Lepisosteus oculatus: one gene and its partners. The main gene of each other region encodes a partner of the protein of the gene in region 2 in a complex. Links are inferred from orthologs where the notes say so. Each region holds a gene or a part of one and is shown on either strand. Other genes may lie near its edges. The genes, in order: vps72b, mbtd1, enhancer of polycomb homolog 1 and bromodomain-containing protein 8.

The links.
Region 1: mbtd1 (region 2) and vps72b share a complex: the UniProt entries of both Homo sapiens proteins name them as parts of the nuA4 histone acetyltransferase complex. The link is inferred for Lepisosteus oculatus from reciprocal best matches to the Homo sapiens genes MBTD1 and VPS72.
Region 3: mbtd1 (region 2) and enhancer of polycomb homolog 1 share a complex: the UniProt entries of both Homo sapiens proteins name them as parts of the nuA4 histone acetyltransferase complex. The link is inferred for Lepisosteus oculatus from reciprocal best matches to the Homo sapiens genes MBTD1 and EPC1.
Region 4: mbtd1 (region 2) and bromodomain-containing protein 8 share a complex: the UniProt entries of both Homo sapiens proteins name them as parts of the nuA4 histone acetyltransferase complex. The link is inferred for Lepisosteus oculatus from reciprocal best matches to the Homo sapiens genes MBTD1 and BRD8.

Annotation. Positions count from the first base shown.
Region 1 is NC_090722.1:5,052,864-5,059,775, reverse strand, and holds the start of vps72b (vacuolar protein sorting-associated protein 72 homolog), read right to left. Parts: upstream 3,010-6,912; 5' UTR 2,995-3,009; coding exon 2,976-2,994; intron 1,962-2,975; coding exon 1,828-1,961; intron 506-1,827; coding exon 353-505; intron 1-352. UniProt on the Homo sapiens protein: Deposition-and-exchange histone chaperone specific for H2AZ1, specifically chaperones H2AZ1 and deposits it into nucleosomes.
Region 2 is NC_090704.1:33,791,542-33,799,227, reverse strand, and holds the start of mbtd1 (MBT domain-containing protein 1), read right to left. Parts: upstream 3,017-7,686; 5' UTR 2,884-3,016; coding exon 2,854-2,883; intron 1,919-2,853; coding exon 1,717-1,918; intron 1,037-1,716; coding exon 903-1,036; intron 705-902; coding exon 590-704; intron 106-589; coding exon 23-105; intron 1-22. Other genes in the region: spag9b (C-Jun-amino-terminal kinase-interacting protein 4), read left to right, coding at 6,788-7,087. UniProt on the Homo sapiens protein: Chromatin reader component of the NuA4 histone acetyltransferase complex, a multiprotein complex involved in transcriptional activation of select genes principally by acetylation of nucleosomal histones H4 and H2A.
Region 3 is NC_090701.1:39,246,349-39,253,972, reverse strand, and holds the start of enhancer of polycomb homolog 1, read right to left. Parts: upstream 3,008-7,624; 5' UTR 2,715-3,007; coding exon 2,562-2,714; intron 1-2,561. UniProt on the Homo sapiens protein: Component of the NuA4 histone acetyltransferase (HAT) complex, a multiprotein complex involved in transcriptional activation of select genes principally by acetylation of nucleosomal histones H4 and H2A.
Region 4 is NC_090706.1:29,598,013-29,605,772, forward strand, and holds the start of bromodomain-containing protein 8, read left to right. Parts: upstream 1-4,756; 5' UTR 4,757-4,828; coding exon 4,829-4,847; intron 4,848-6,142; coding exon 6,143-6,239; intron 6,240-6,550; coding exon 6,551-6,620; intron 6,621-6,721; coding exon 6,722-6,771; intron 6,772-7,091; coding exon 7,092-7,214; intron 7,215-7,487; coding exon 7,488-7,568; intron 7,569-7,742; coding exon 7,743-7,760. Other genes in the region: kinesin-like protein KIF20A, read right to left, coding at 495-653. UniProt on the Homo sapiens protein: May act as a coactivator during transcriptional activation by hormone-activated nuclear receptors (NR). Isoform 2 stimulates transcriptional activation by AR/DHTR, ESR1/NR3A1, RXRA/NR2B1 and THRB/ERBA2.

The DNA of each region.
Region 1 (6,912 bases), on a different chromosome or scaffold from region 2:
AAAGCCCGGCGAGGGCAATCACTGGGATCAAAAAACACAAAGGCAGGGCACAGCGTCTTCTGCAAACCCCTCAGAAGCCAAAAAGAATAGCACAGCAGTGTCAAAAGGAAACCTGTTTATTAAGAGTGCAAAGAGGAGGCACTTTTAGACACAAAGCCTAAGAGCTGGAGAAAGCTACCCTGCCAAGTTGCCTGAGACGATTCCTCTCTGAGACCCTCCGATCAGACACCCTTCAACAAAAGAGTAACAGAGATTATCTTATTCCCCAGGAATACCGTGTCTTGGCTGCCTGCAGACGCCCCATGAAACCACCCCCCGACAGGCCCAGAGTTTCTCAGAGCCGCCCCCTGACCTTGTAGGCCTTGGTGACCACACGCCGTTTCCTGCGGGGCTCGTCCTCCTCCTGGTCGCTGTCGGGCTCGTCCCCCTCGTCGATGTCGAAGTCGCTGTCCACCTCGTCCTCCGTCTCCGACTGGTCGCCCTTGTACTCGTCGTCGCCCGACTCCTGCCAGCAGAGAGGAATGAACCCGATGGGAGGGGGCGGCGCCCTTATAAGAGCAATCTGCTCGTTTTCTCCGGGATTCATCAAAAACACTCCAGCACCTCCATAAGTAGCGGCAGATTAAAAAGCTCTAGTCCTAGAACATCTTAATTACAAATTGGCACGAAGGAGTCAGAGATTATTGCTAATAGGGCTGTGTGGAACACAGCACTGGATCTTTATACCACTGGATATACACTTTATACAATGCATCTGCAATTTAATAACTGTTGTTGGGATTTCAAAGAGACCTAGGAGCCCTAACTGAAACACCAGCTTCTCTAGGACTAAGATTGCAGACCCTTGGCTTCGGCCATTTTTACATGCTAATGTATACCATGCTGAGTTTTGATTTTTGGTTATCACAGAGGTGCCCCCAGCTGTCCCCGACACACCTGTGGGGCTCCCACACATGAGCAGTGCAACACAATAATAATCAACTTTAACTTATATAGCACCTTTAAAAGGTGGCTTTCAAAAAAAGCTCTTTGCAGAACGACAACAACAACAATAAAAAAAATGCCAGTTTTATCACAGCCCTGTTTACAGTAAAACCAGAAATTCAATTCAGGTGGCAGTGTCAGCATGCGTAGGCTGCAAAGGAACAGGTAAAGATGTATTCCATGCTGAAAGTAAAAGAAGAGAGACTACGTTTCGGCTATGGAGCCTTCTTCAGGTGCGTTTAGTTTATAACTGAAGAAACTCCACAGCCGAAACGTTGTCGCTTTTCTTTTCCTTTCAGCACGGAATAAACCTTTACCTGACGCGAAAATCAGCTTTTCCTGTGCTGCCCTACATCAGTGGTTCTCGCTTCTGGTCCTGCAGCGAGCCAGCGTCTCTCCTTGTGCTCGAGTCCAGCTGGTTACATCTGTCCCTCATATTAGCACAAGAGCTCATTACAAATCTCCTTCGGACTGATAAGAGCAGAAGACGCCTCAAGTAGAAAACCTAAATAAATGAACTCCGTTGATTAAGGGAACAAAAGCGAGCGGACATAGGGGTCCAGAAAGCCCAAATGTGAAATCCAGTAATCTTCACCAAGCTTACCGCCCATAACGACACATGCTGAGGTGTTCGTGTGCGGTTCGCTTTATGCTCGGTCTCGTAACATTTCCAAATCTACGATTTTCATTTCAATGAGGGAGACCTGTGTAAACGTTTTAAGCATACAAAATGACTACTGTATTAACCTGAAGCTTCCAATTTCATATTTCCTGTACTATTAAATTAATTTTATTTCTGATAAGAAATCTGTTCTAACGTAAAGTCTTGTGTTAATAACTTACATCGTTGAATCCGCCGTAAGTCGTTTTGTAGAATTCGTCATCTTCTTCCGCATCTAATAATTTAGACATACGGTTTCCCGCCGTCTTTCGCGGTGCTCGACCGACGGCTAAACTCATGTTTGGGTAAACTTCGTCTGCAAAATAAAAATAAATAAACACGACCCCCTCAGCCTTCAGTAGTAAAGCTATACTGTAAGATTAAGATATCCGTTTACTTCTAGATTGTACCGTCCGTCGAATTTAACAAGAAAGTTATTTTTGTGAAAACGCCTTGGTTTTTTTTTCTGAAAACTATATTTAAGTCCAATTATTTTCTTTATTTAAACAACAGAATTAGACACTATTCGCAATCCGGCCTACGGTGCAAGGCGGCCATTGCATGTTTTAAGTCTTTGTAATTGATTGCCGAGCCTTGAATCCAGACTCAACTAATGGAGCTGAACCGCAGTGGTTGTGACGAGTTTATACCAGGAGGTGACAGTGTTACCTCAGCATTCACCCTCTACAATTCTTTCTCAAGCCTCGGTGTTCCTGCAGTTAAATGAATATCGTCTGACTGACGATTCGCTCGCACATTTCACATTGCACATTTTAGCGTCACAAAGGGATTTGTTCACAATATTCTGGCTGAAAAATCAGGTGATGAATCCTTCAAAGGACATCAAAACCAAAGCAATCCAATCCAGTTCCCAGGAGTCAAAATGCCTCCCCATGTGAGATAGCTCAAGGGAACTGGTTAATAAAATTGGACAATTATTAACTTCATCCGGCTGTGAACAGTTTGACAGTTATCTTATGTTGCCACCTGCATCAAAGGACCCAGTTAAGTAAGTAAATCATTATTTCAGGAGACTGAGCCATCACAGATCATCACCTACCAATGAAGGCTGCTCAAGGTTCGAGACTGGAGGGCTGTGGGTTCGAATTCCAGCTGTGACACAGCTTTTCTATCCTTGAGTGAGCTGGTTCACCTGAATAGCCAGCTGTATGTTGGTAAATGGGGGCAAATCTAAGTTGCCCTAGATAAAGGCATCAGACAAAAAAAAAAGCAAATTGATTTTCAAAGTGTGTAAACAAATGTATGATTTAGCAGCTTTCTTCTCTCAAGCTCTCTTGCACTTGACTGAAGAGACTCAGTTCCTTTTAACCTGTGCTGTAGATTGACATGGACACCAGCCCTGGTCCTGGGTGGCTGGCTTGTGCAGGTGTTTCATCCTTGCTTAGCTCTGTACAAAGTCCAATCAGCTCCTAATGGCTGAAGTGGGCCCAATTTAACAAACTGGTGCTGGTGTTTCAAAAAGATCTAGGAGCTCCTCTAGGATCAGGATTGGAGGCCTTTGGCGTCAGCCATTTTCACATGACTTGCAAGCAGCTGTAGAGAACACCTCAAAGCAACAGGCGGTTGAAGGAATCACCAGCAGCACTAGCAACATGGTGTGTTGACTGTTTATACACAAACACAGGTGGAACTACATGTTACGCCTACTAATGTGCTAGTACCAGTTGTGCCAGGTTAAAACTGATAGCAACAATGAGTGTGCCTGTGTTGCCAAAGCACTGAACATTCCTGCAAGGTCATACAAGTAAGAGATGATTTGGACTAATTCTAATCCAACAATGTTTGCATTTCTTCTTCTGCCTAAGCAGGCTGCCTCTTGATATACTGTATGGGAGTCTGTGGCATAACCACTGTGCTGGCTACCCTCTGCCTGCTGCCAGGGGATATTGGGATATAGGAACTGGTTGCAATTCTGCTGCCAAGCCCCAGTTTGAACGCTCCAGCTCCTCAATGCCTTTTTCAATGTCAGTTAATCCAGCTGCCTGCCACCTGGGTTTTCACAGAAAGCACCGATGGACATGGCAGGGAGCACGCTGCAACTGTCTCAGCATTCAGTTCCCAGCGCCTGCAAGCAGGTCCCTTCGAAGGATAATGTGTGAAAAAGAAGGAAATATAGTCGAAACACAAATGCATCAGATCTCAGTCAAATGTGGTGAGCGTTAACCATACAGAAACATGTGTGAAGGGATATTAGGCAGGATGGATGACTTTGCAAATTCTTCACGTATTTCAGGTTATTACAGACTGCTTCCAGAGTGCACTGGAATGCATACAAATGTTGTACCAGCTAAAACTGATAAGATCTGGTATGCTGCATGAAGGACAGTCTGATTCTTGGAAGATTTATGTGAAAAGGATCTAAGGGCAGATATGTTCCCTGGCCGCATTCCCCACATTCATCTCAGGCCACAGCTGCAAAGAATGGGGCTACTGATGAGGGGAATGAGGCGGCTGTGTTTTAAGAATGGGGACAGGCGAGATGCTCTTATCGAGAGAGCATCCGCAGAGTTTCAGCCGAGCAGTTTCACCTCCGGCAGAGGGGGAGGAGCGCGCTCTCCCGGGCTCTCCGAGTCGGACGCAATCCCTCGAATTCTGGACGGAGTGTTGGGTTTCACAGTTTCGGGGGGAAAAGGCCATGGCTGTCCCACTCCGGATCTGGAACGCTTTCCGGGTTATTTTGCCTCCCACCATCCTCCCGAACCAGCAACCCTGACCTAGTGGCTACCCCCCCCACCCCTCCCCCACTGCAAACACAGGGGACCCCGAGAATCCTGCCGCTCCCCAGCCTTGGACAGCCTCGGACTCTAGAACAGAGGGACCCGTGGACACCATGCAGAGGCCGCCAGGGCTGAGCACCCACCCTCCCTTTGAACAACGCCAGTCGGCCAAAACTCTCCTTCACTCTGAATGCTTTTAGTGTCCGTAAGAGTTGCACCATCAATAAAGACTGACAGGGGTACCACCCCTAGAAATGAACACTGTTCCTAAATATTAGTCTTCCTTAATATCCCTCATGCACAGCGGCCCAGCACCCACCACACTTTAACAGACATTTCCACTTAAGTGGAAACCTTTAATACTTAATACAAGAATTCCTTCAATTAGTATGGCGGCGTGGCTGAAGACAAGGAGCTGGTGTTCCAGAAAAGCACCAGCAGGCAATTTAAAAATTGAGGATAGTTTGCCGACAAGAGGGGGCGAATTATCACAGCCAGCTCTTGGTAATTGGTAGCTATTCACATCAACGATCGCCTCTAGCCTGGACCAGCGGTGAAACATGGAACGCTCTCCGGATCAGTTTAATCCGGACGGGTCATCCCGGACCCAGTGGCTACCCCCCCACTAGAGGGCACCGGTGGGAACTTCCTTGGAAGTGTAGATTTAAAACATGAGAACGGGAGCCACTTCTTTACACAAAGAGTGCCGGGAGTGTGGAACAACCACGTTGCTGAAGCCGATACTGTGGTTTCTTTACAGAAACAGCTGGGTGAGGTTTCTTGGAATAATTAGCTACAAACTACTAAATGGACTGCATGGGCCGAATGACTCCTCTCGTTTCTGTCCTTATTTGCTGACGGTATTCCACTGTGAGAGAGCACGCCGCTGGCTTTCATTATATACGTGTTCGATATTTCTGAGACTCAGAAGGAATCAATATTTGGATCACGAAACTCTTAACTACCAAACGGGCTTGACGGACTGAATGGCCTCTCGTTTTTAACCGTTCTTAAACGTCAGTAAGACACACAACCATCCGTCTCATTTATTTTAATTATTTTCCGGGTACATTGACACGCAAAAGCGGTACAAACGAGGGCACTTTGAAAGAAGGGGCTGTGGCCGCGTAGCCATTGTTCCCAGCTTGTTTCAGGCCAGCTGTATCTCCCCCGATTGCTCGTTTTTCCCCAAAAGCTCCGGACGGTAATAAACTGACCACCCACGTTGTCCGGCCGCACACACCTGATGGGCGGTCTCCCAGGCGATCCAGCCCAGAGGAGCCGCCGTAGCAGAAACACACCCGCCTGCGCTGCAGAAGAATCTCCCCATCCAGAAAAGGGGAATATTTTTTTTGGGGGGGGCGATGAGAGAAGCGAGTCCAGACAGACAAGCGGAGACTCCTTGCCCAAACGCAATTGCGATACTCAGCAGCACCACGAGATGGAGCAGCAGGTGGAAAAAAATCGCGTTTTTTTTTGCTGGCCTCGCTGCATTGTGGGGGCAGTTGACCATAGACAATAGGTTCCCCCCCCTCACTGCTGTAAAAGGCAGACACGGAGAGACAGGCCCGAGGCCAACAATAGAAACAGTGGCGCCTATTGTCCCAGCTGCACGTAAAAGCCGTGCACTGTCCCGAATAGGAAATAGCCGATCTGCGGTCCATCAGCAAAATGCCGCGCTCACACGTGACGGGCCTTAGGAAACGACCTTCCAAAATACATTTTCCGTCCCTTTCTGCTACCTGCACACAGTCGGGACGGGGAACAGGGGAGCGTGTGTTCAGCATGAGAGCCCCGAGCGAGTGTTCAATTCAAATACTGCTCGTCTGCGCTTCAGTGGTAAAGCACCTGACGGCTCCCGGCAAAGTTTACCCAGCGCTGTCACGCCGGAGAGACAATCAAGACTCCTTTCGCTTTTGTGCGTCCTCTTCAAACAAATGGCAAAGAATCTGCTGACGTGCGTTGTCGTTGTCGCTTGAGCTGCGGGGAACAATCGCCCGGATCGGGGGTCTGTCAGGTACACTAGTTCTGGAAACAGGTCCCCAAGTGAAGAACACGAGAACCAGAGGAATTGCGCCCATTTTGTTTTGTCATTAGGATGCGGTTGATCTAATGGTCCAGGTGGATGCTGCACATTGGTGGTGGTGGAGGGGAGTCCCCATTACCTGTAAAGCGCTTTGAGTGGAGTGTCCAGAAAAGCGCTATATAAGTTTAAGCAATTATTATTATTATTATTAATGACTTGGCGCAACTGTTTCTTGAAAGCAGCCCGTGTATCGGGCTCCACAACATGGCTGGGCAGATTGTTCCACACTCCCACCACCCTTTGTGTAAAGAGGCGTGTCCTTTTTCTCGGTTTGTCACATAGTTCCCACTTGAGCCGTCTGGAAACACTGGACCAGGACAGAAAAAAAAAACAGCCATGTTGTGGTTTTTGTGTACTATTCCAATTCACAGAGCTCTATTGGCATGACTGGTGAATTGCTGAAGATGAACTGCTCCACTCTATTATATTTGTCAGTGTTGTAC
Region 2 (7,686 bases):
TAGTAGTTTTAATTCTACTTACGTGCTTAAAGCAGCTAACAGGTGCCGCAACAGAGTTATTGCTGCTGATGTAACGACCCCAATCAAACCCCTCCACAGGAACCACTGAAAAGGGCAAGACAAGGACAGAAAGATAAAATATATTCAGTTTATCACTGCTTCAGGTGACTTATTACCAACAGTGCTAATATCCACTCCAGCACCCAATTCCCTAAATATCTTTAATGCATTTTCAAGAAATTGAATCTTTTTGTGTTTTTATAAGAGTCCCACTCAGAAATGGCAAGCTTAAACGGCATTCATTTTCCAAAAGGCAGTGCCCTCTGTGTGCTATGCTTATATTCATCAACCATGTGCTTCCTTTCAGCTACTTCTGGGAGCACTAATAAGAGAGTAATGATCTAGTAATACCACGCACCTACACTATGTACATTACAGAATGCAAAATTCAAATTTCTGCATCAAGGAAGGTGTCATTTATTCTTAGATTCACACATGTAGTAAAATGTAGTAAATGCTAACCACTCTGTGAATATACAAACTCTTACTAGTTAAATAGTCACAGTTACAGGACTTCACTGTCCCTCACCTGTTTTTGATTTAGCTTGGTTTTGTTGGTTTGCCTGGTACTGGGCATATGCTGCTAACTTGGCCATTAGAGGTTGTTTTTGTAAGACTTTTGCCTTTTTTGTAGGTGGTTTACCCTGCAAATAAAAAATATCCAATATTCAATGTTATTAACATATAAAGACATTAATATGTACATTATTTGTAGATTACAATCTTATAAAAGTGAATACAGCTGCTGTTCGTCTGGCTGGTGACTCTAACCTAGGTCTTTTTGCTAACACAAGCACCAAAACAGCTTTCTTTGGGGTCACGTGTAAAATAAAGAACATTACCTGGAGCCTAGCCAGAATGCTGGCCTTCTTTGAGTTAGAGGAATAACTTCTGGAACAAGAGACGCTGCAGAATCGCTTGGTTTTGGAATAAAAGGCATCTCTGACTCCCACCATTCCACACATCTCACAGGTAGCTGAAAGAACAGGCAATTGTGGGTTACATCACACTTACAAGTGGTGGGAACAGTGAGAAACCTTTTAATTGTGCAAACATCCCTGCACGATCCCAGACTGTCGCTGGAAACATTTTTTTCTCAATTTACTCATTAATGTCATGCAGAAAAAAAAAAACAGAACACACCCGATATAATTCAACACAAGCAAATACTGTTAAAATCTGCACAGCTTACTCTGTCATGTGACTTTCCTTTAAACTTGCCTTTTTCTAGTTCTGTTTAGTGATGATGACTCTTCCCAGAGCCCTTGTAACTCACATTTCAGTCTACGGATTACCAGTTGATATATATGTACAGTATATAGCTATGCATTTATTTACACCAGCTATTGAAAGATGTTCTTTTCAACAGAACAGAGAATGAAAGAATGTAAAATAATCACAACTATGATATTTTAAATATAGATAATAAAGCTAAAAAATATTGAAAGAGCAATGAGTAAGTTTGGCCTCTAGTAAAGACAGAATGACTTAACTGCATTTTAAATGGTGGTATGGCGCTATAAAACAAACACCAAACACTCTGTGTGCTGGTGGTATGGCGCTATAAAATAAACACCAAACACTCTGTGTGCTATGCCTTTAATTTGGGTAATTAGACTTGTGTTGTGAGAGGGCAGCGTGAACTTGTGGACTGACCCATGCCAGCTTTGCCATCTGGGTAGGTGTACACCTGCCCATTGTTCTTGATGATGGGCAGGTTGGCAGGTATGGAGGCGACCTCCTCCTCGCTCTCCTCCGAGCTAGAGCTGCTGCTGGTGTCCTCACTGCAGCTGTCATACCCATCATACATCCCGAAGGAGTCCCGCCTCTTCCTGTCTGACCGAGGAGTGTGTTCAGTCTGGGTGAACAAAGACAGGCATTGAAGAGCGCTGGCTGCAGACCTGGCATTTCCTATTGCCTTGGCCTTATGGGTTACAATCAGAAACACAGCAGGCATATTAACCAGCCTGAAAACCAATGTGCACTTAGTGTATTCAGATTAAAAATCTACACCAAAGCTACTGTATGCTGCCTATTTTTCTTTATTTTAAGAGCATGATTCCAGATTGCAAAAACACCTTTCTCAAAATACCAAAGTTTCTATAGTTTCTTTTAAACAAAACTTAACACATGGTGCATTTTAAAGTATAAGAACATGCGAACAGCTGCAAATTCAGCTGCTTCTTGAAGCAGCTCAGACTCTCAGACTCTGGATCTCAACACAGGCCTAGCTAGAATGCTTCTTAAAGGCCCCAACAGCTCTTTGTGTAAAGACATGTTTTCTACTCCCCAATCTAAATGATTGCTCCTTTAGTTTCTAAATGTGATCTATGTTTTATTACAGTCATAATAATTTATTTTCATTACAGAGTCGTAAGTAGTCCTATAAGTTGACCCAATATAAAAACCTCAGAGGCAGATATATTGGATGATATTATCATCCAGGTGGGTGCTGCACATTGGAGGTGGTGGAGGGGAGTCCCCATTACCTGTAAGGTGCTTTTACTGGAGTGTCCAGAAAAGCGCTATATAAATGTAAGTAATTATTATTAATATTAGGATCAAGCCTACTTTATCTAAACTAAACAGACTATGTTCCTTTAACCTGTCTATTAAAATATGTTAAAAAGGAAATAACTTTAGAAAAAAATTATGAGTAATGAAACCACATGTAATGTCATTACACTGTAACCAAAGTTGAATTATATAGATTTTTATTTTTAATTAGTCCACACTAGCGTATTGTCCAGCTTCCCTTGTTTTAAATTTCTCAGGTTTTGCTACATACAGTACCTTGGCATTTTGGTGTCTTGATGAGAACATAGAAGAATCTAGACATCCAGGTCCCTCTCATGAGTAGCAGTTCAGAATCTGCAATGGGGCATGCCTAGAGCATGTTTCTTTTTCCTGAATTGATCCCTTTGCTCTTAACATTACATTTTATTTGGCACACCTCGTATTTTGGAAAGGAGAACATGTTGTGTCAGTATTCAGTTTAGCTGTACAGTGCAAAATCCACTATCTGCTGGAGCTTACTACTGTGACAACTTAATCAATATTTAAAAGATGTTTCTTAGCCTGCATATAAGAAAGTTTATTTTAATGGTATAATGGGTGGCAGCTTTGAACAGTATTCTAAGCACAGAAGAGACTTATTTGATAAATATGATGAACTCCCAAAACAGAATCTCGCTGTTCCAATAAATGCTACTCAAAGACCCAAGATAATAAGAACAGAACTTAAAAAAAACCTTGCAAACATTTTTACAATTATTTCTTCCACTTATTACCATCCAATATTTCCAACTTTCAATGGTAGTGGAAACTTACTACACCCGAAATACACCTAGAAAATCTTTGTATAGGATATGTATTACTGGTCAGTGAGCACCTTACACATAGAAAAACAAATATTTATGGAAATGAAATTTCAATGATCGCTATTCGATTTCATATGCATTTCACAGGATGCAATACATTCTACGGCCGCAAACGACAGTTGTAAGTATTTCAATAAGCTTAACTACTCCAACTGCAGTACACTACGAGTTAAAGGTGACAATAAAAAGATATACCGAGTTTTCGCAAATATTTAAACAAGTCATTTAAAACTTGGTATCATAACATTTCCGGGCTCTAATTTGTAAACATGGCTACGATTTTGAACTCCGGCAGAAATGCTTAAAAATCTCAAGGCAGAGCGAAACTGCTGTGTGACACGGTAACAGCAGAATGGTAACCCGCAACGCTGGTCTACAGAGCAATAAGCAGCTATTTCTCAGCATTTATTTCTTCGGAACTCTAACACCTAGTAACAAGGTGTGTTCGCTGGGGTTTTTATCTGTAATATCAGAAAAACACGTATTTTGAAGGATTTACCCGTTACATACACGAATGACATGGAAGTCTACGTACCAAGTATTTCAAAAAAACAAGGAAGCATTATCTGTGTGTGTGCTTTGAATGCTACTACCACTGCAGTCGTGACGGGCCTGCACGCCTTTTCCACTTCGTCCTGCAAACTAGCGTCTCTGCAATGTGTTTCAGCTAATTCTCGGGTGCTTCACAATCGTTAAAGCCCCGGCAATCCGTCAGCCGAACCTTTGGAAACCTGATTGTTTTACCTAGGCGAATCTGGAGGCCCCTTTTTTCTACTGCTGTTTCTGCTGCAGGCTGACAATCACAACAAAGGAAGAGAAAAACAGGCTTGTTGCACTCCAAAGCACCACGCTCGATCTCCCCGCTCAACTCACCAAATCCCTGGCGTTTTCCATCAGCCCCTCATGCAATGCCGTTTTGTTTTGTGTGTGCAGTTGTAAAATTCCCGAGAAGGAGAAATAGAACAGAAAATCAAACTAAAACCCAAAATATTGAACTCCAGCTGAATATCAACAAAATTATCATATCTGCAGAGCGCAGGCGCAGGGTAAACCCCCTGGTTGCCATTGGTCGGAACGAGGAAATGGTAATCGACACAGTCCTTACACGGAGGATTTTGGCCCCTGGAGGCCACCGTACTACCTGAGGGGGGGAGTCTGTTATCGTTGCTTCAATGGAGCGCACCTGTTCTGCAGGCACCCAAAGACATATCACGAGTTGAACGGAATTATGACACTTCTGTTTTTTATTTGACATCCTTCAAAGAGCTATTGTATCCAAACGAATGAAGCTAGATAGACCTCAGGCAGTTTTTTCACTTGCACTGAACAAAAGCCCACTGATGTTACGAATTGACCCAGCTAAAAGAAATCGTACAACATCTGGGGCGCACCTGCTCGGTACATGAGGAGCGATCGAAAGAAGAGAAGACTCCGACACAGTTTTAAGAAAGCAGAGACCTTGTGATGGAGGCAGTGAATTTACACATGCACGCCGTATACGCTGTATCCCGTATGTGGGGTTCATAGCTTTTGCGTTAAACATTTGAAAACCTAATGTTTATGGTTCGCTCCCAAAACTAAAATGACCTGATTTATTCACACGCAACGTACGAGTTATGTGTGTGTTGTACATTTTGAAATCGTAACACTGTTTTTCAAGATACATACATTTCTTTAGTTCTCTCATCCTGAGTCGATCACGAATTTACAATACCATTCACCCCATTTTACTGTTAAGTCCCGCTTACCAAAGAGGGCAACAGATTTTCCAAAGAGGAATTCTGACATGGGAACATTGGTTTTAAATGTGCACACATTTATTTCAACCAGCTTTTTTACCTTGCAACTTCCAATACAACACGAACTCTTATAACATACTACATATACTTCAACCGTGAAAGTAGAAATACAGCTGCTACTGCACCATTAAATACATACGTTATCAGTAACAAGAACAATAATTAAGCTCGGAACTTTCGACATTTTGCGGCGCACAAAAACGTACCTTTCTAAGCCAACAGATTGCTTTATCGTTCGGTCCAACTAGAGGTCGATTAACTTCTGCTTTGATAGGGACACCTCTGTGTAAACCACTTCTGTGTGCGCGTTTTAATTGAAGACTGAGAGCTGTGTCTTTTCAGCACTTTGTAAAACAGCAGGAGTGTCAGGAAAACATATTTCAAGAGCTTGCTATTGGGATAGTTTGACATATTAAAACAGAACCATGGTAAATTAAAATGTCTGTTTTTTATATAATTTTGTTTTGGTCGTGGTAATACCAACGTCGCAAGGAACAAGTATGAGCTGGTTAAACGAGCAGCAACATTTGAGACCCAGCAGAGGGCGCTGTTTTGTAACATCAAATCAGACTCAGCTTTACCTATAGCAGGTGAGTTGTTAAACGTCTTATGTGCCAGGTAGACGGCACTCTATAAAAATATTTCTTTTTAAAATGCAATGTATTAAATATGATATTGCACATGTTCGTTGGGCATGACATACCAACTTTCAACAATTCAAAAACAAGCACTAACCGCATGTGTAGCACCATATACAGATTCACAAACCTGAACTAAATTAAACATTTTGGCGTCAGATTCCACCTTGTTCTAATATTTAATAATCCAACAGACTTCCTCACTTTCTGCTTTCGATAATATACCACCTCCATTCATCTGAGGGATATATTCTAATCAGAAGTGCAGACATTCGATAAGTTCTTTACTAGTTTAATTAGTTCCTCCAGTGGGTTCTAAATTGGCTATTTCTTTTGAGTTTTACTTATGTTTGTCTTAAAACACATAATGCAAGACTTACCTAGTTAAAAACGAACAAGTCGAATGGTTCAGTGCATTTGAATAAATAAAAACGAATACAGTACTTGGAAGACAATGAAGAAGTGAACGCACAAAAAGATAATTCGATACACTCTGTTCTGTTTGAATATTTCAAAAATATTAATTTCACGACTCGTGCAAAATGAAACTACTAATTAATTAAAGACACCCAGGCGTAATCTTTAAAGAAACGAAAATTGCAGCGCAATATTCCAGCCCTTCCACTCGCAAATCCCAGCCCCGGTTTTAGAATGTGACGTCATCACGTGACGGTCTGGTCAACAACTCAGCTGCACAGGGAGCTGGAGGAGCGGCAGCCAAATAAAACACAAGACATCGCTCCCTTAAAGGGAGGGACTGCAACTTGCCCGGATTCTTTTATTTTTTTATTATTTTTTAATTTTTTTTTAAAGAAGTCCGGCATCTACACAACGTTGAGGAGCAGATAAATTCGTACAAGATAGCAAGAGGTGGAGGGCTGCACCGCATCGGAAAGAGAGAGAGAAGAAAATGGAGTTAGAGGACGGAGTTGTATACCAGGACGACCCGGGGACGGCGGCAATGATGTCGGAGCGGGTGTCGGGCCTGGCCAGCTCCATCTACCGCGAGTTCGAGAGGCTCATCGGCAAGTACGACGAGGACGTGGTGAAGGAGCTGATGCCGCTGGTGGTGGCCGTGCTGGAGAACCTGGACTCCGTCTTCGCCGAGAATCAGGAGCACGAAGTGGAGCTGGAGCTGCTGAAGGAGGACAACGAGCAGCTGATCACTCAGTACGAGAGGGAGAAGGCGCTGAGGAAGCACGCCGAGGAGGTGAGGGGGATTGAGCCGGGAGAAGGGGCGGGGGGTGATCTGTCCCCGCTAGGCCGTTGGCATTATTCATCATATTCCTGCACCGACCCTGTGCCAACCGCCAGCCGCCTCTGGGCCACACACGGTGTACAACACCCCAGGCGTTACCGTGCGCGCATCATGGCATGAGCGATCTGCACTGCACGGTGCGTCCAGAGACCCAGCTAACTGTTACCCTTCTTCCTTAATCCCTTAATCATCGTGCCGTGGCATCGCCCGATTGCATTTTCCTTCTGTCAGCTGCCATAATTCATAATTCAGCTGCCATTAAGTCACAACCCAGCCCACCCCGAAAAAGTAAGTTCGGACGTGCCTTGGGTTTTCCAGAAAACAACTGCACTGCCGTTCTGAGTAAAGACGCTTCACATTCCGCAGGTTGTGGCCGTCGTGCCGAGCCCCTTCGCAGGCAGTTCCTGTGCCCCTGTATAGGTGGTGGCAGAAGCATCGGATTGTTGAACCGGTGACGGGGAGAGTTGACAAGGTTGCGCGCACATTTGCCTTCTTAGGGACCTCCTCGTAGGTTTGGAGGTTGTTGGTTTAGCTGCGGGACTAGATCGTTA
Region 3 (7,624 bases), on a different chromosome or scaffold from region 2:
GAAATCGATTCCTTTCCATCTTGATTTATTAGACTTAAAAAAAAAAGGCTGTTCACCTTCCTCTCACTGCTATTTTTAACGGATCAGATGTCAGCGAGAAGACAAATCAAGGTGATGTGGGCAACATTTAGCAGCCTCTCTTGACTACTACTGGCCACAAGGAACCACACCAGATTAGTAGTTTGCCGTGTTCTGTTAATATATCTGGAGGACAGCAGATATGAAAGACCAAAGTTCGTTTAATGAGAATGACTTAGGAATACAAAATTAGCTCATTAAATCTCCCTTATTTTGGTGGGTCACTGCGTCCCCAGACATCTTCCTAATCAGAAGCCGAACAGTCCCTTTCTGCTTATCCAAACACCCACTGGAATATCACGAAAAATTGAATGGTTTAAATGAGATTTATGGGCAGAGCACGACACTTAGTCTGATCAATAAATTGTGTAATATCAGTAATGCATTCTTATACATATACACAGCATAAATCAACACGGCTTTTAATTAACTCACCTGTTGCTAACAATTTTGACAATGGATTACAGTGCTTTGACAGATGCATCCAATTTCTAATTTTCGGTTCTTGATCCTAAACAGTGTAACAATTAACAGGGCAACTATCAAACTTGTCATTCCTCATCATTAAATGCTCTTCCCTCCTATTTCAACCCTAAACAAAACAGTTTGTATTACAACACCATAGAGAAAACCAAGTTAAAACGTTAGTGTGTACAATAACCATGGAAATGTCCACAAAGACATCAACCATCACATATGCAAATGTGATATTGATTAAATGCAAGAGAAGGAACTTAAAATCTCCACAGAGAAGGGCACTGGAAGAATATATTGTTAGAGTTAAAAAACAGCACGTTCGGGTACGGATTCCCCACAAAGAGGTAAAAATCAGACAGGGGTATCTTCCTAATCTCTCTCTTAGCACGCAGCCCTTCAAAGTCAAGTTTTGTCGTTTACAACTGAAATAGGAGCTGCAAACCCAGCGCTCTGCCTGCTTACAGAGTTCAGCAGAAGACTTCACCCACTGACATCTCACCTCACTGGCGCCAACAGTTCAAAGGCGAACTGACATTTGCAACGAAGGTGACAGTGTAGATCTGCGGTTAGGACTTACTAGAAAGTCCGGTAAAGTGGTTTAGAGAGGCGTCTCCATACTATTGCAAAAAAAAAACGATAGCCTGCTTTAACCTCACAATTTAACTTATTCGCACAGATGCTACTGCTGCGTTTGTAAAACATTCACCATACCCGACCGGCTTCTACACAAGCTTTCCCTCTTGGCATTCAAAGCTGCAGAACGAAGCGAAGAAACTACCAGCCTAGATTTAGGACTATCCGTTTCTTCATTCAATCGGCAACTCAAGCGTGAGAGGCTTAAATCAATCGCCAAACTTAACGCAAATGGAGGAAGTGTGGATAACGGCCACGGAGTAGGAAGAGATATGGTGTTCGGAAATAATGGAAAACTTCAGACCTACTCTCGAGGCGATAATGCAGATTTAACTGGGACTGGGGAGAGGGGGGGGGTAATTTACGGTTTTAGGACTAAGGCAAAACTGGGTCAGTTTTGCGTCACGCCTCCTGACGAGCTGTATCAACACAGCCGCGCAAGCACGGCAGCCGAGCAGGCGTGAGCACACCTCAGCCGGAATCAGACCGGTCATGTCCATTTTCTGCCAAACGGAGGGAAGTCTCCTCATTGGCAGCCCGGCAGTGCCCGCTGCCCAGCTCCGTGCGAGGCACAGCCGAAGACGAAAGAAAACAAAAACACCCTTCACGTACACAAGCTGTACATTCGTTTACGGAAACCTCCGCGACTTGCTCAGCTGCCGTGTCTCTAGAAAACACTGAAAGACAAATGGGCAGATCGCAAACTTAAACACGAACAGCGTGACCCCATCGCAAACTCTTGTCAGCGCCAACAACTCAGAACGCGTACGACGCTGTTAAAAAATACTTCTGGTACTACTCCATTTCAGAAACAGTTCATGTCGTGAAGCAAAAAAAAACGAGTCTAGAGAATGCAGAAAACGGCTTCCTTCTGCGTCAAAACCAACGTGAGCACAGGCAGTCGGACCTGCGTTCCCAGCCGACAGCGCTCTTGTTTATGTTGTAGTATCCCATGTGTACTCAGACTGAGGGGGGGGGTGTGGGCTGCCAGCTCTCGCGCGCCCCCTCGCACCGGGCCGCGGCTCCTGCAGCGACACGAGGCCCAGCCCAGCGCGAGGAGAAAGTCAGCGAAATGGCGGATTCGCCTCGAGTCACGTGACCCCTTTGTGCCGTGCAACCCTTTTCCCGGGTTAACGGGCCCCGACAACCGAACCCAACAACACCATCTGCAACCAGCGCCGTCTTATATTTGTATATACTGCACCAAATCCTGCTTAGGACGCGAGCAAAACCCCGAACCAAGCCGCCTTTCTGGAACGAGAATATGGCGGCCATTTTGTGCAAGCTTGCGCAGACAAGATAGGGGCGCCCCTTCATGCTGCCGAAACCTGGACATTTTACCAAGAATAGGTTTTCGGAACTGCAAAACGTACCGATTCCTCCTCTTTTTCCATCCCAGTTGGCATCTGCGGCACTGCCCGGTTAATAGAGGCATATTCATGCAGGTCGGGTAAGTCCTCGCAGCGGAAGACAGGTAGTGGCTTGGAAGCGTCCAGCGCCCGTGCCCGAAACGACAATTTACTCATTTTTTATATTTCGAGATGCAGCATAAATCTATCCGATCCCCTAAAATTCACAACTGTCCCGGTTTGAGCTCTCATGGATGTGTCTGTGTCGTTCTCCAGTCGTCTACCGTTCGATTGGTTAAAAAAAATACAAACGGCGAGGCGAACGGAGCCGGGAAGGCCCGGATCTTGGTCGCTCTCTTTCGGTCTCTTTTTTTCAGTCGCTCCGCTCTCTCTCCCTGGTTCAATACGCCATGGCCAACATGGCGGACATTAAAAACTCTTTAACTCTCCGGTAGCTGCTGGCGGCCCAGCCCCCCGATCAGCGCACAGCCATTCCCGCACGGCCCCGCGCGCGTGCGCGCTCGCGGCGCCCGGAGGGGAGGAGGAGGCGGCAACATGGGGGAGGGGAGCGCTCGCAACGCCGAAATAAACAGCACCGAGGAGCCGCGGCCCCCCCCCTCCCCGCCCCATTCTTCTTTCCTCCGCGCACTCTTGACAGGCAGCGCGCAGCAGCAGCAGCAGCTCTCGCAGCCTCCATCCGCACTACACGGCGTGTGTGTTGCGCCGACATGGGACGCGCTACCCGCGACTTAAAGGCGCACTCGCCCCCTGGTCTGTGGCTGAATGGGGGTTAACACGGGATAAACTACAGACCCGAGAGGATAGAGAAGTTGAATTTCCACCAACACTGTACAGTCTACAACTACGTTCTCATCTTAACGGAAGAACAGGTTTCTATTGGTAATGAAATGTGCGGTAGATAAAAACTACAGGTAAAAACGTAATATGCATCAACACTGAGGCAGTTTCTAAGTTTAGTTTCCTCCCAATATTGTAAGTAAGACATCCTACGGTTTACTGCAAGCTTAATTTTTTTTTTAAGTCTTCCGTGTGCCATCAGAGTTACAGGTATTTGATCATTGGCGTTTAACTCCAAGGCTGCCTGCTACCGATTTCTTGTTGGACGCCTCCAGTTGAATCTCCACAATCTTGGAAAATGTCGCCCTCTTTTGAAAAGAAAATGAATCGCATGGTACAGTAAGTAAGCGAACCCAGGGAAGTTTGCTCTATACTGTCTGAGAGTTTCTAAGTAAAAGGAATCAACAGCTTTGTAAAGGACAATCAAAACAAATCAGTCTTTACAAGACCAATGGAAAAAAAAAAGTTAAGAGCACTTAAAAACTAAATCATGCCCACAAGAAGGAAAAAATACCAAATTGATCTCGAAAAACTTAAGGCTTAATAACACATTTAGAAAACTAAAACCATCGGTGGCTAACCTAATTAAAATCAAACTTTCATCCACAAATTGTATTAGCCTGAGATTTAAACAATGACACTACTGAAGAGTTTAATTAGATTAAATGCATCATCAAACCATTGATCTTTTTGTCCCTTTTGAAGTTGTGATCAGCAAAAGCTAGTACATTTTCAATTAAACTCCAGTTAAATTCACAGAAACACAGGGTGGCGATTAAATTCCACCAATGGCACTCCCAGAATGTTTATACTTCTGCTAAATAATATTAAAACTGACAGCTAGACATCTTTTTTTTCTAGTGATAAATTTCATTGAATCCTTTATTTTACCAGATAAGAAAATTAAAATGACACTGCCATGGTCTGCAATGTGAACAAGTGCAGGAATTAAGGATTTACACCATTTAACTGAACACTCACATCTAAAGATGGACAGTTTCAACCTCTGCAAAAGGTCCCAGGCACTGGCAGCAGCAAGCAAAGTGCCCGTCCCCAAAACGGTAGGTCTACATGGAAAATGAATCCAATAATAGCATTAGCTCAGTGATAGGCAGTAAGATGGCACAGAGGTGCAAAAAAATAAAAAGGAAGGGTTTTCCACAAATTACAGATTGGGGGATTTTAACAGGAGAGCCTGCCTCGTATGCCAAGAGAAATACATTAAAAGAGTAAAGATCACAGAGATGAGTGTGACATGAGGCACCAGTGATATATCTTAAGTCAAAAGGGGTAAAAATCAGCAAGTTCCTCAAAGAATATTATCAGATGCCACTAAGCAGGTATTACCTAGTCCAAGATTGGGCATACAGACATTTAAAGTAGTGGACACTTTCATCTAGGTATACAACTATTTGTTGCGATACAGAAACTACGTTTGTACCTATCATTTTACTTTAGTAGTTTTCCAATTTAAACCAATGTACTGTCATCTTTATTTTAAGTGTACCTTTTTTATGCTCCATGACTAGAGCTTTAAACAACATCTAGGGAAATATTTATTCATCCTTTCTCACCTCTCCCTTTTCATCCGCACATTTTTGTCATTCTTGCTCCCACTCTTTTGACTTGGGGCTCAGCTCTCTTCCTCATCTACACCCTATTCCTGAAGAAGGCTCCACTTACAAAGCATCTCTTACAAGGAGAAAAGTGTAAAGATGGTAGATATCCTATTTCTAAAACACTTTTTTCCCCTTGAATTCTGGTGTGGATATGTATAATAACGTCAGAAGTGCAAAGATGCTACAACACGATTTCCTTCGATTAGTGAAATTTTAACTGCAATCCCTTAGCATGATTACGGTTCCACTCATCTAAAGGCTGGAAATGTTATAATCAAAACAACAAAGAGTCCTTTAATTAAAGTTTATTCTATTTAGGTTTAAGGTGGGTTAAAATATAAAAGCCAGATTGGATCTATTGCTCCTGGAAGCAAGTATACAAGAGATCCTGGCAACAGTCATGGTGCAATCAGATAAAACAGGATATGTTCAGTTGCAAATGTACTTCCTTTAAAGCTAAGTTAGACCATTTCCCCTGTAGAACTAGGAAGTTGCACAAAATCTAGTGTTCTAATTCTTATCGGTTAGAATCATTTCTCCAGTACCACCAGCTGTTGAGGCTCCCAAACTAGTAAATAACCGCACAGCTTTGAGAAAGAATAAATCCAGGCCTGACAGGTACCAAGCAAAATGACAAATCCACATTTCGGGGGAAAAAACTGCCATATTTAACAAATGAACCATAGATACCATCTGCTACCTATCAGCTGGTCAGCAACACTACAGCCTGCACCTAACTGCTTTCTTAGACACTGTGAACAGTGTACAAGTGGCTACAAACCCAACTCTTTGATTAACATACACACAACTTTAATGTAAAAGCCAGAAGGCATTTGAGATCAAGAAATGTATCCCATCTTCTAACTGGGTTTTCAGTAACTTGTTAGTATTATAACTGCAGAGATCTGTGCTAACACTACTATACTACTACTTGCTCTAAATGTGAATGTACTCTGAATAGTTATTCAGAATAACTCCTAATTACTTAAGACTTTTTCACTGAGTACTAAAGACATTCTTGTAGCAAATGATGCTGGTCAGATGACAAATATAGCCCTCAAGTCTTACGAATGATGAATAGCCCATTTTTGTACAATGCTAGCTATTTAATACCATAATTTATATATTGATTAGTTCCAGTATTATTTAACAGTCTTACTGTTTTGTGGAATTGAGAACACAAATATGTGAGACATCACGGGGGTTAATGAATGGAGCACATGGTTTAAAAACAAAAACAAAAATTGTATCAAATGTTATAAACCAGGCGTGAGTATTCCTCATTCTGGAGGCTGATTTATCTATACATTTTCTTTTGAGTACATCATCTATTAACCTAAATCAGCTAATTATGGTGTAATGGGACAATTTAACAAAAATATTTAGTTTTTCCATGTGCTCTTGCTCTAATAAGACCTAGAAAACCTACAGTCACTGACTCTGCAAGACCAGGATTGTCCAGCTTCTTTTTAAACTGAACCTCGGACAAAATGACTAGTACAAATGCACAGGTCTGTTTTTTTTAACCATACCAAGGTCTGTTGTACTGTATATTATAAAATGAAAAGATAACTAATCTCCAGGGTGTGACGCACTAGAATCACATCACACCTGAGGTGTTGGATGTTCTTGACCAGCAGCTTCTTGTCCAGCCATCCCAGGTGTGATGTTACCTTATCCCAACACAAACCTTATCGTACACTATTCCTTTACCACCACATATATCTCCTCCATTCATTGTGATGCTTACTTCAGCTGAAAATCAAACAGCCACATAAGCAAGGCATCTATACCAACTTTAATATTTAAGCCCCAATGTTCTTGGGGGCTGACTAGTTCTTGTGATCAGGGATGATGCCCCCTACCAACCTCCAATCACCACCCTGCTATTAGAAAGCCCCTTCTCCTAGAAGCACAGGCAGCAAGGTGGAGCACACCCACACTCTGCACCCGGGCAAGACGCCAGCCAATCACAGGATGAATCAGAATACCCCATGAAGCCAAGCTGGCACATCTCTGGGAGGTGGGAAGAAACCGCAGCACCTGGCAAACACCCCAGTATATGGGCAGAATGTGCCGACTCCACACATGCAGGGCTGGATGAAGGCCCTATCCGAGTGGGAACATACCTAGGGCTCGTCCTCCAAGAAAGCAAAAGTTTAAGCTCCATGTACAATGGAAGACTTTTTTTTTTATGATGCAGCTGTCATTTACTATATTCTGGGAGTGCCTAAATCAGTAGCAACAGACGTACACAACGATGAACCATGCACTATTTTCTGATGCATGACAAGGATGCACCAGGTTGGTGAATTGCGTTGTTAACATCAATGACGGATAAAAGAAAAACACCCGTGAGGCATTGGGGATGAAGAAAAAGCTACAGATGGAAGTACAGCACCCAAGCTGGTTATAAGCGCACAAGATGGAGAAGCATGCAAGGCAGACCTTTACAGGTGTTTCTGGTTGCATTTTGAATATACAAGATTGTCACTGTGAAGGATTCAAGTTTCAGATGATTCTTATTAAAGTCTGTGGAATCAGATGCTAGGTGAAACACTGTGCAGAACAAGACTATGTTGAAAGTCCCTCTGCTATACTCTGACACAA
Region 4 (7,760 bases), on a different chromosome or scaffold from region 2:
CGCCCAGGAGCAAGAGAGAGGGAGAGTTCACACGAGAGCAGGAGAGCGTGCTGTGAGTGTGCGAGAGAGCAGGCCCAGGTGCAAGAGAGAGGGAGAGCTCACACGAGAGCAGGAGCGTGCTGTGAGTGTGCGAGAGAGCACGCCCAGGAGCAAGAGAGAGGGAGAGTTCACACGAGAGCAGGAGCGTGCTGTGAGTGTGCGAGAGAGCACGCCCAGGAGCAAGAGAGAGGGAGAGTTCACACGAGAGCAGGAGAGTGTGCTGTGAGTGTGCGAGAGAGCACGCCCAGGAGCAAGAGAGAGGGAGAGTTCACACGAGAGCAAGAGAGCGTGATGCGGGTGTGCGAGAGAGTGAGAGTTCACACTAGAGCAAGAGAGCGTGATGTGAGTGTGCGAGAGAGGGAGAGTTCACACGAGAGCAGGAGAGCTTGCACACGCTGCGAGGGGTTTGATATCCCAGCACGGCTCCGCCTGCGCTGCCCCGTCGCCTGTCTCACCGGCGTGGGGGCGTCCGCTCCAGGGGAGATGACTGACAGCTCGGCGAGGCGATGACCCCCTCTCTGCCCGCCGCCGGTCTCGGCCGCCGTCGACTCGAACACCGCAGCCTCCTCCTCGTCCGACAGCAGGCCGCGCGGTGAGGCCCCATACGTCGCCATGACAACCACTGCGAAAGCAGCAGACAGCCTCAGGTTAGAGGGGTGACACCCCACCATCTCCCAGACCCACTACACCTGCAGCCACTGCCCACTGAAGGGACGCACACCCACACCCACTCACACCCCCCTCGGTCCCTGAGCCCCCTACACCTGCAGCCACTGCCCACTGAACCGACACACACCCACACCCACTCACACCCCCCTCGGTCCCTGAGCCCCCTACACCTGCAGCCACTGCCCACTGAACGGACACACACTGGTCCATATACCCACAAACAGCAGGGAGACTGAAGCTTTTTTCAAATAAATGAAAATCAGCAGTATAACAACAGAGCAGACAGCCAGTGATGATTTTACAATAAAGCTAATCACTCCAGGCTTTACAGTGCTGTCAGTCACACTCCCAGTGCACAGCAGTACAAGTCTCACGCTAACAAGTTTCGCTCCAACAAATAGGAATAATAGCAAAGCATCAGTCCAGAAAAATAGCTCTAAACCACTGGCTCAAACTCCGAGCTTCTATTGTTTACTGGGTCCTGTTTGTGTTCTAGCAGTAGCACATAAGGAGGCGAGAGACCCGATTCTCCGTAGGCAATTAGCAGAACTCTTCCAAATAGTCGCTCAGGCACAGAAAGGGCAAAAAACGGAGGCAAGTCAATCTGATCTACGCTTCAGATCAATGTTAACACCTACTACAACTACACCAGACAATCGTCTCTGCGAGACTCTCAGAAAAGGTGGGTCTTGTTCAGCCGGGCAGAGCTACAACAGTAACAGACAGCATCCAGCATGGGATACATGGGGTCTCGGTAGAGGCATAATCCCACTGCTGGCAGCAGGTATTCATGGATGTGTTGGGATTGGGAACTGGTCAATGGGCAGGACACTCAGGATGGCGGATGTAATCAGTGGAGCACCACAGGGATCTGTACCGAGAACCCTGCTCTTCAGAACTCACAAGTATTTGCCCAGTCCCGAATGCTGTCTAAATCTTAAGAATCCTCCGAGTTCTCGAGTTTAATTCCTTGTTGTTACAGTCCGTCTATCAGCTTTTCAAAACCTTAGGAAAACTCCCGTGTCCAATTTAGGTTAATTAGGTTAATGAATGGACTACAGAGGGCGCAAGGCCCTGCAGGGGCCAAGTTAGAGGCTTGGGACAGTGTCACAGGGGTCAGGTGCAGGTAGGTGGTTAGAGAAGTCTGGAAGGAGCCAGCAGCCTGCAGGGCACAGGGCTGCCTCACTGAACACAGACCAGCTTCAGAGCTGCCTCCCTCTCTCTCAGCAGTGGAGGTAAATTCCACATGGGGCCAGTCCACTAAATTCCACAGGTAACTGCTAATCCCAGCGAGAGAGCTGGACAAGGGGGAAAAACAGAAACTCCAAGGGGACAAGCTCGTCCCACAAGGCTCTCCCACACCCCCTCTACACAAAGAGAGCCGTAGAACAAGCTGCCCAGCCAGTCAGGACAGGAGGCACGTCTGTACACAAAGAGTGGTGGGAGTGTGGTACAAGCTGTCCCGCTACGTTGTGGAAGCCGATACCCTGTTTTTTTTTTTTTACAAGAAACAGCTGATCACTGATCCCGGGATCAATTAGCTACTATCGATCAAAGCGGTCAGACGGGCCCTCCTCTCGCTTGTTAGCCCTGGTTCAGATCAAGTCTTAGAGCGCGGTGTGGAGTGAAAAACCGCATCGGACCCGGGACTCTCCGGGTCCAGGAATTAACAGCAGTGTTGGTATTGCGGTGCTGCAGTTTGTTCCTAATTTGCAAGCCTGTGCGTGAAGCTCACTTTCACGAGGATAAACAAGTCAGGCGAGCACGCCCCCCCACCCACCCCCGGAGAAAGGAAACCCGCACAGATACAGGGATAGTCTGTGGAGAACCCGGCCGTTTCAAACCAGTTCCGCGGGTGGACAACCCACTCAGACCGCGCACGACCCTCTCTCTGCGGACCAGCAGGCTGGGGCAATTTCAATGCCGAGAAGCGAAGAACATGCACACGGGGGGTCAGGCGCACGCGTCCTTTTAAAAAGGGTTTTTGCCCGCCTCGCAGTCTGATACTCTCGATTTTATTCTCTAACCTCTTCAATACAGGGCTTTCTTTTGTCAGTTCACAAAAGTCATGCAATAAAAACTGTAAGAACACAATATACCATCAAATTTAGAAATAAGAGGAACACTGGGGTGTTTATAGCAACTGTATCTTACCAGGTCGGAAGTCTGTTTACGGTAGAAAGAGCGCACGCAGTCGGGGGGTCCACAGATTAATTTACACGACCACACTGTCCGCAGTGATTTTAAGGTTTCGCTCTCTTGGTCTTTTTTTTTATTTACTGAAGTTTATTGGCGTGACCGACGAATTACTGTTGTAATACTTCATACAGTAACAGCAATCGGGTGTAGGACATTTATGTCTTCGAGCGGTGTGTCCTCAATCTGAAAATTACCCACATTCACTATCGAGAGAAAACACGCAACCTCATTTAGTTCAAAGACAAAACAAAACACTAACCTTCTTTAAATACAAACGCAGGTTTTTCCGTAAAGTTCTGACGTCTTCTGACTGAGTGTCCTCTCTAGAAGTTTAAATAGAGGCACATTAAAAGTCCTATAAACCCTTTCCTCTGTCGACTAAACTTAAATTAACAACCGCGCTGAACTAAGAACTCTGGGACCAGCGTTCAGCCCCTCAGCAAACCGATTCAAACGTCGCGCCCCGGAGGGACAGCCAATCACCTTCCGAGTGCCGCCCGCAGCCGCCCAATGGCAGCGCTCGGAATGCGAGGGCCGCCGCTCCAGCCAATCGGACGGCACGCTGAACCCTCGCCCAAGGCGCAGGCGGAGAAAGGGCGCGGCGGCGTGCCTCTGTGAAGGAGAAATAGAGTGCGACCAATGGAAACTGGCTCCATGTTGGCTCAAAAAAAGAAGCACCGTGGCGAGCTGAGCCAACATGGCGATCTACCGCAGCTGGTGGGTGCTCGTTTAAACCTTTAGTTGTTCCTTTGCATCGCTACAGAGTAGCCTCTAAGAGCTACGTATTCATGTTCACATCGGCTTTATTCCCACATGAGTAGATATTGTACTTATCTACTTGAATAAACCTGCTGTGTGAATTTAGTCGAGAGAAGCCAGCGTTTCTCGCCCCCTTACAGATATGTTATTCTTCCTGTGCTAATAGATTATCTAAACAGCATGCCATCTTTAGACAGCCGTGCAAATTCGTTTAGTGTGTGGGCAAGCACCTCTTTCCCTCGGGGACTGAACAATAAATGTGAACAGTATTCACTTCGGCGGTACTAAAGAAGCATTGATGTGAACCCACATCGATTTGATAAACATCTGGACCGCCTGTCCCACACAAACGGCGCATTGTTGGCAGCTGAGGAGCCGCAGGGCACAGCGGGTCACGTGGGTCGGCCGGTCGGGAGTTTGCACTTCCCAGCATCGCCGTCAGGAGTCGCTGTTGTCGCCCCCCCTCTGGGCCGCGTCTTGCCTTGATGGCGCTGATCTGCGGGCGAAGTCTGTCCCAGCCCGTTGTGTTAGGAAAGGCGCCTTTGATTGTGGGATACTAGGGGTTGCAAATAGACGCCTGTTTAAAAGTGTAAACTCAGATTAACATAGGCAGAGGTATCCAAATATAGGACACAACTTAGAAGTATGTAGTATTATAGAAACAAATATAGGTAGTAATGTAAAATATATAATCGTGTAGACACGCGAACACGGATGATACTGTAGAAAGTTGAATGCAGTTGATTTTGCAGAATTACAGTATATAACACCCCAGAAATGCAAATATAGGTGATACTGCAGTGCAGAAAAAGTCTTTGGAGGATGCGGGCATCGATCCCGCTACCTCTCGCATGCTAAGCGAGCGCTCTACCATTTGAGCTAATCCCCCTTTCTTATTGGGCCGGCCCTGAAGTCTGTATATAAACTAATGTAAACAGTACAGTTTACAGAAACAAAGACTTTAGAAAGTACAATATTCCCACCTTATTTGTATTTCTATAGATAAAGTGTATTTTCCATGAGCGATATATAAATTGGTCATACTGTACATGTCCCTCCAAAGCCAAAGACTTCATTTCCCAGGCAGCATCGGGGCTAGAAAAGCACTTTGACCTGGAAGTGCAAGTGCTCAGTGGCGGTGTGGGAGGGGCAAGGAGTCAAGATGGCGGGCGGCATAGGGAGTAGGTGTTGTTTATATTTTAATTGTGTCTTTGTACCTTTATCAGTGTTTTGGAGTTGTTTCTGTGTTTTTGTGTGTCTGTTCTGCGCGATGAACGGATGTTTCTCCTTACTCCTTATGTAAGGTTACCGTGACTTTCCCCAGAAATAAGTGGTATTCTGGTAACGGACGGTTTTTAACGTAACATTAGGAGTAACGTAACGCAGACACAAAGACTGTAGTTCAGGATTTGGCCCGGGGTGTACGAGAGCGTCTCAGTTTTCGGTCTGTGTGTCATACAGAGTCTGAACCTGAAAGAAAGTTAAGAGAAACCACGCTGGTAGCTGTACTAACGCTTGATAGGGGCTGGCTGTTACTTCCTACGACACCGCTAGGCGTGCGCGTATCTCTTGTTTATTACTGAACACTTCCCACGTTTTTAGTACCAGTTAGTACTAACTATCCATGATCGGTAGCCGGGTAAATATCCTTTAGAAATATTCTCGCCATGGCCGGTTGAGTATCTTTTAGACCAGTGGTCCCCAGTCCTGTAGAGAATATTCCTGGAGCCCGAACGCTTGCTGCCTTTTATTCCAGCCAGACCTCAGGTACACGATCCAACTCTTAACTGACTGAACCAGGTTTGACTCGGGCTGTTTGTTCTCAGCAGGCGGCATGGTGGCACAGTTGTTATCATTTCCTCAGCGTCAGTGACTCCTTTTGTGATTAAAGAGCCAGGTTTCAGTGTCTGGTACAGTGAGAGGGAGACTGTCATTTTGCTCACACATACAGTTTATCTGTTTTAATATGACCTTTCTCTCTCTCCCTCCTCTCCTATAATTTCTCTGCCCTGTCCCCTGTCTCCTCCTCTCCTGTCTTCTCTCTTCTCTGCCCCCTGTCCTTTCCCTCCTCTCCTGTCTCCTCTCTGCTCTGTCCCCTGTCCGCTCCCTCCTCTCCTGTTTACTCTCTGCCCTGTCCCCTGTCCTCTCCCTCCTCTCCTGTCTTCTCTCTGCCCTGTCCCCTGTCCTCTCCCTCCTCTCCTGTCTTCTCTCTGCCCTGTGCTCTCCCTCCTCTCCTGTCTTCTCTCTGCCCTGTGCTCTCCCTCCTCTCCTGTCTTCTCTCTGCCCTGTCCCCTGTCCTCTCCCTCCTCTCCTGTGTCCTCTCTGCCCTGTCCCCTGTCCTCTCCCTCCTCTCCTGTGTCCTCTCTGCTCTGTCCCCTGTCCTCTCCCTCCTCTCCTATCTTCTCTCTGCCCTGTCCCCTGTCCTCTCCTATCTTCTCTCTGCCCTGTCCCCTGTCTTCTCCCCGACTCTCTCCAGAGCACAAGCTGATGTCGCTGGGCCCCACAGAGCCCTGGTCTGTGAGGGAGAAGCTGTGTTTGGCCTCGTCTGTGATGAGGAGTGGAGACCAGAACTGGTAAGAGGGGCTCTTTCTTCCTGTCTCTCTGTCTGGCGCTCATGGCTGCCAGACAGTTTCCCTCCAGAACTGTCCCCTCTTGCTCCTCTCCCTTCTCTCTCCTTTGCCTGTGTCCCCGTCTCTCTCCTCTCATTCTCTCAATTTCCAGCTGTCCCCCCTCTCCTCTCCGTCCGTCTCCATGTCTCTCCTCATCCTCTCTCTCTCCCAGCCTATCAGATTCAAAGAGCTTCACTGGCGTGACCGATCAGCCGCAGTGTTCACAAGGCAGGTACAGTTAACTCCACAGTAACAGATACATCTCCCTCTGCCAGGGTGTCGGTCAGCAGAGCCATCAAGCCCTTTGCAGAAGCAGGCCGCCCTCCGGACTGGTTCTCTCAGAAGGTAGGAGACACAGTGATGCTCGTTCTCCTGCAGTGTTTCCTCGACCTCTTCAGCGCCGTGACGGTAGTGTGTTTTTCCTCCTTCCTGTCTGTCTCTCTCAGCACTGTGCCTCCCAGTACTCGGAGCTGCTGGAGACCACAGAGACGCCCAAGTGAGTGCAGCTCCCCATCCCTTGTTCTTGTGTTGTGTTGTGTCTCGGGTGTGAGCAGGTGGGGGTGGGGGAGAGAGAGTGCGGTGTTGTGTTGTCTGGTGTGTGAGAAGGGTGGGGTGAGGGAGAGAGAGTGTGTTGTTGTGTTGTGTCTCGGGTGTGAGCAGGGTGGGGTGAGGGAGAGAGAGTGCCTTGTTGTTGTGTTGTGTCTCGGGTGTGAGCAGGGTGGGGTGAGGGAGAGAGAGTGCGGTGTTGTGTTGTGTCTCGGGGGAGGTGGTGGGGAGACAGTGCAGGAGTGTTGTGTAATGTTGTGTCTCTCTCAGGCGGAAGAGGGGAGAGAAGGGTGAGGTGGTGGAGACTGTGGAGGACGTGATTGTGCGCAGACTGACAGCAGAGAGGATAGATGAGCTCAAGAGGCTGATCAAAGACACTCAGGAACTGCACAGGTACTATTTTGTCCTGTTACTCTATCCTGTGTCCTACAGTATTGTCCTGGTAATCTGAACTATTGTGTAATGTTACTCTACACTGTTTTCTACAGTATTGTCCTGGTAGCCTGAACTGTTGTGTAATATTACTCTACACTGTTTTCTACAGTATTGTCCTGGTAGCCTGTGCTGTTGTGTACTGTTACTCTAACCTGTGTCCCTGTATGCTGTGCTGTGTTGTGACCTGATGGTCCTCACTGTAGTCCACTCTTACTGCGTCTCTCCCTGCAGGAAGCTGAAGAAGGAGGCAGAACTAATCCAGGCTGGACATCTGGACAACAAGTTGGAGGAGCTGTGGGGGGAGATCGTCCTGTGAGTCTGTCCATCTCCCAGTGTCTGTGAAAGGCCGCCTGTCCTTCTGTGTACTTGCCTGGGTCTCGTTGCCTGTGCGTCTGGCTCAGGAGATGTCTGTGATTTGATTGTGGTTGTGGCGCGGTCGGCAGGCGGTGGCGGCGTCACTGATGCGGTTACTGTTCCCGCCTCCAGGAAGAAGAAACAGGACGA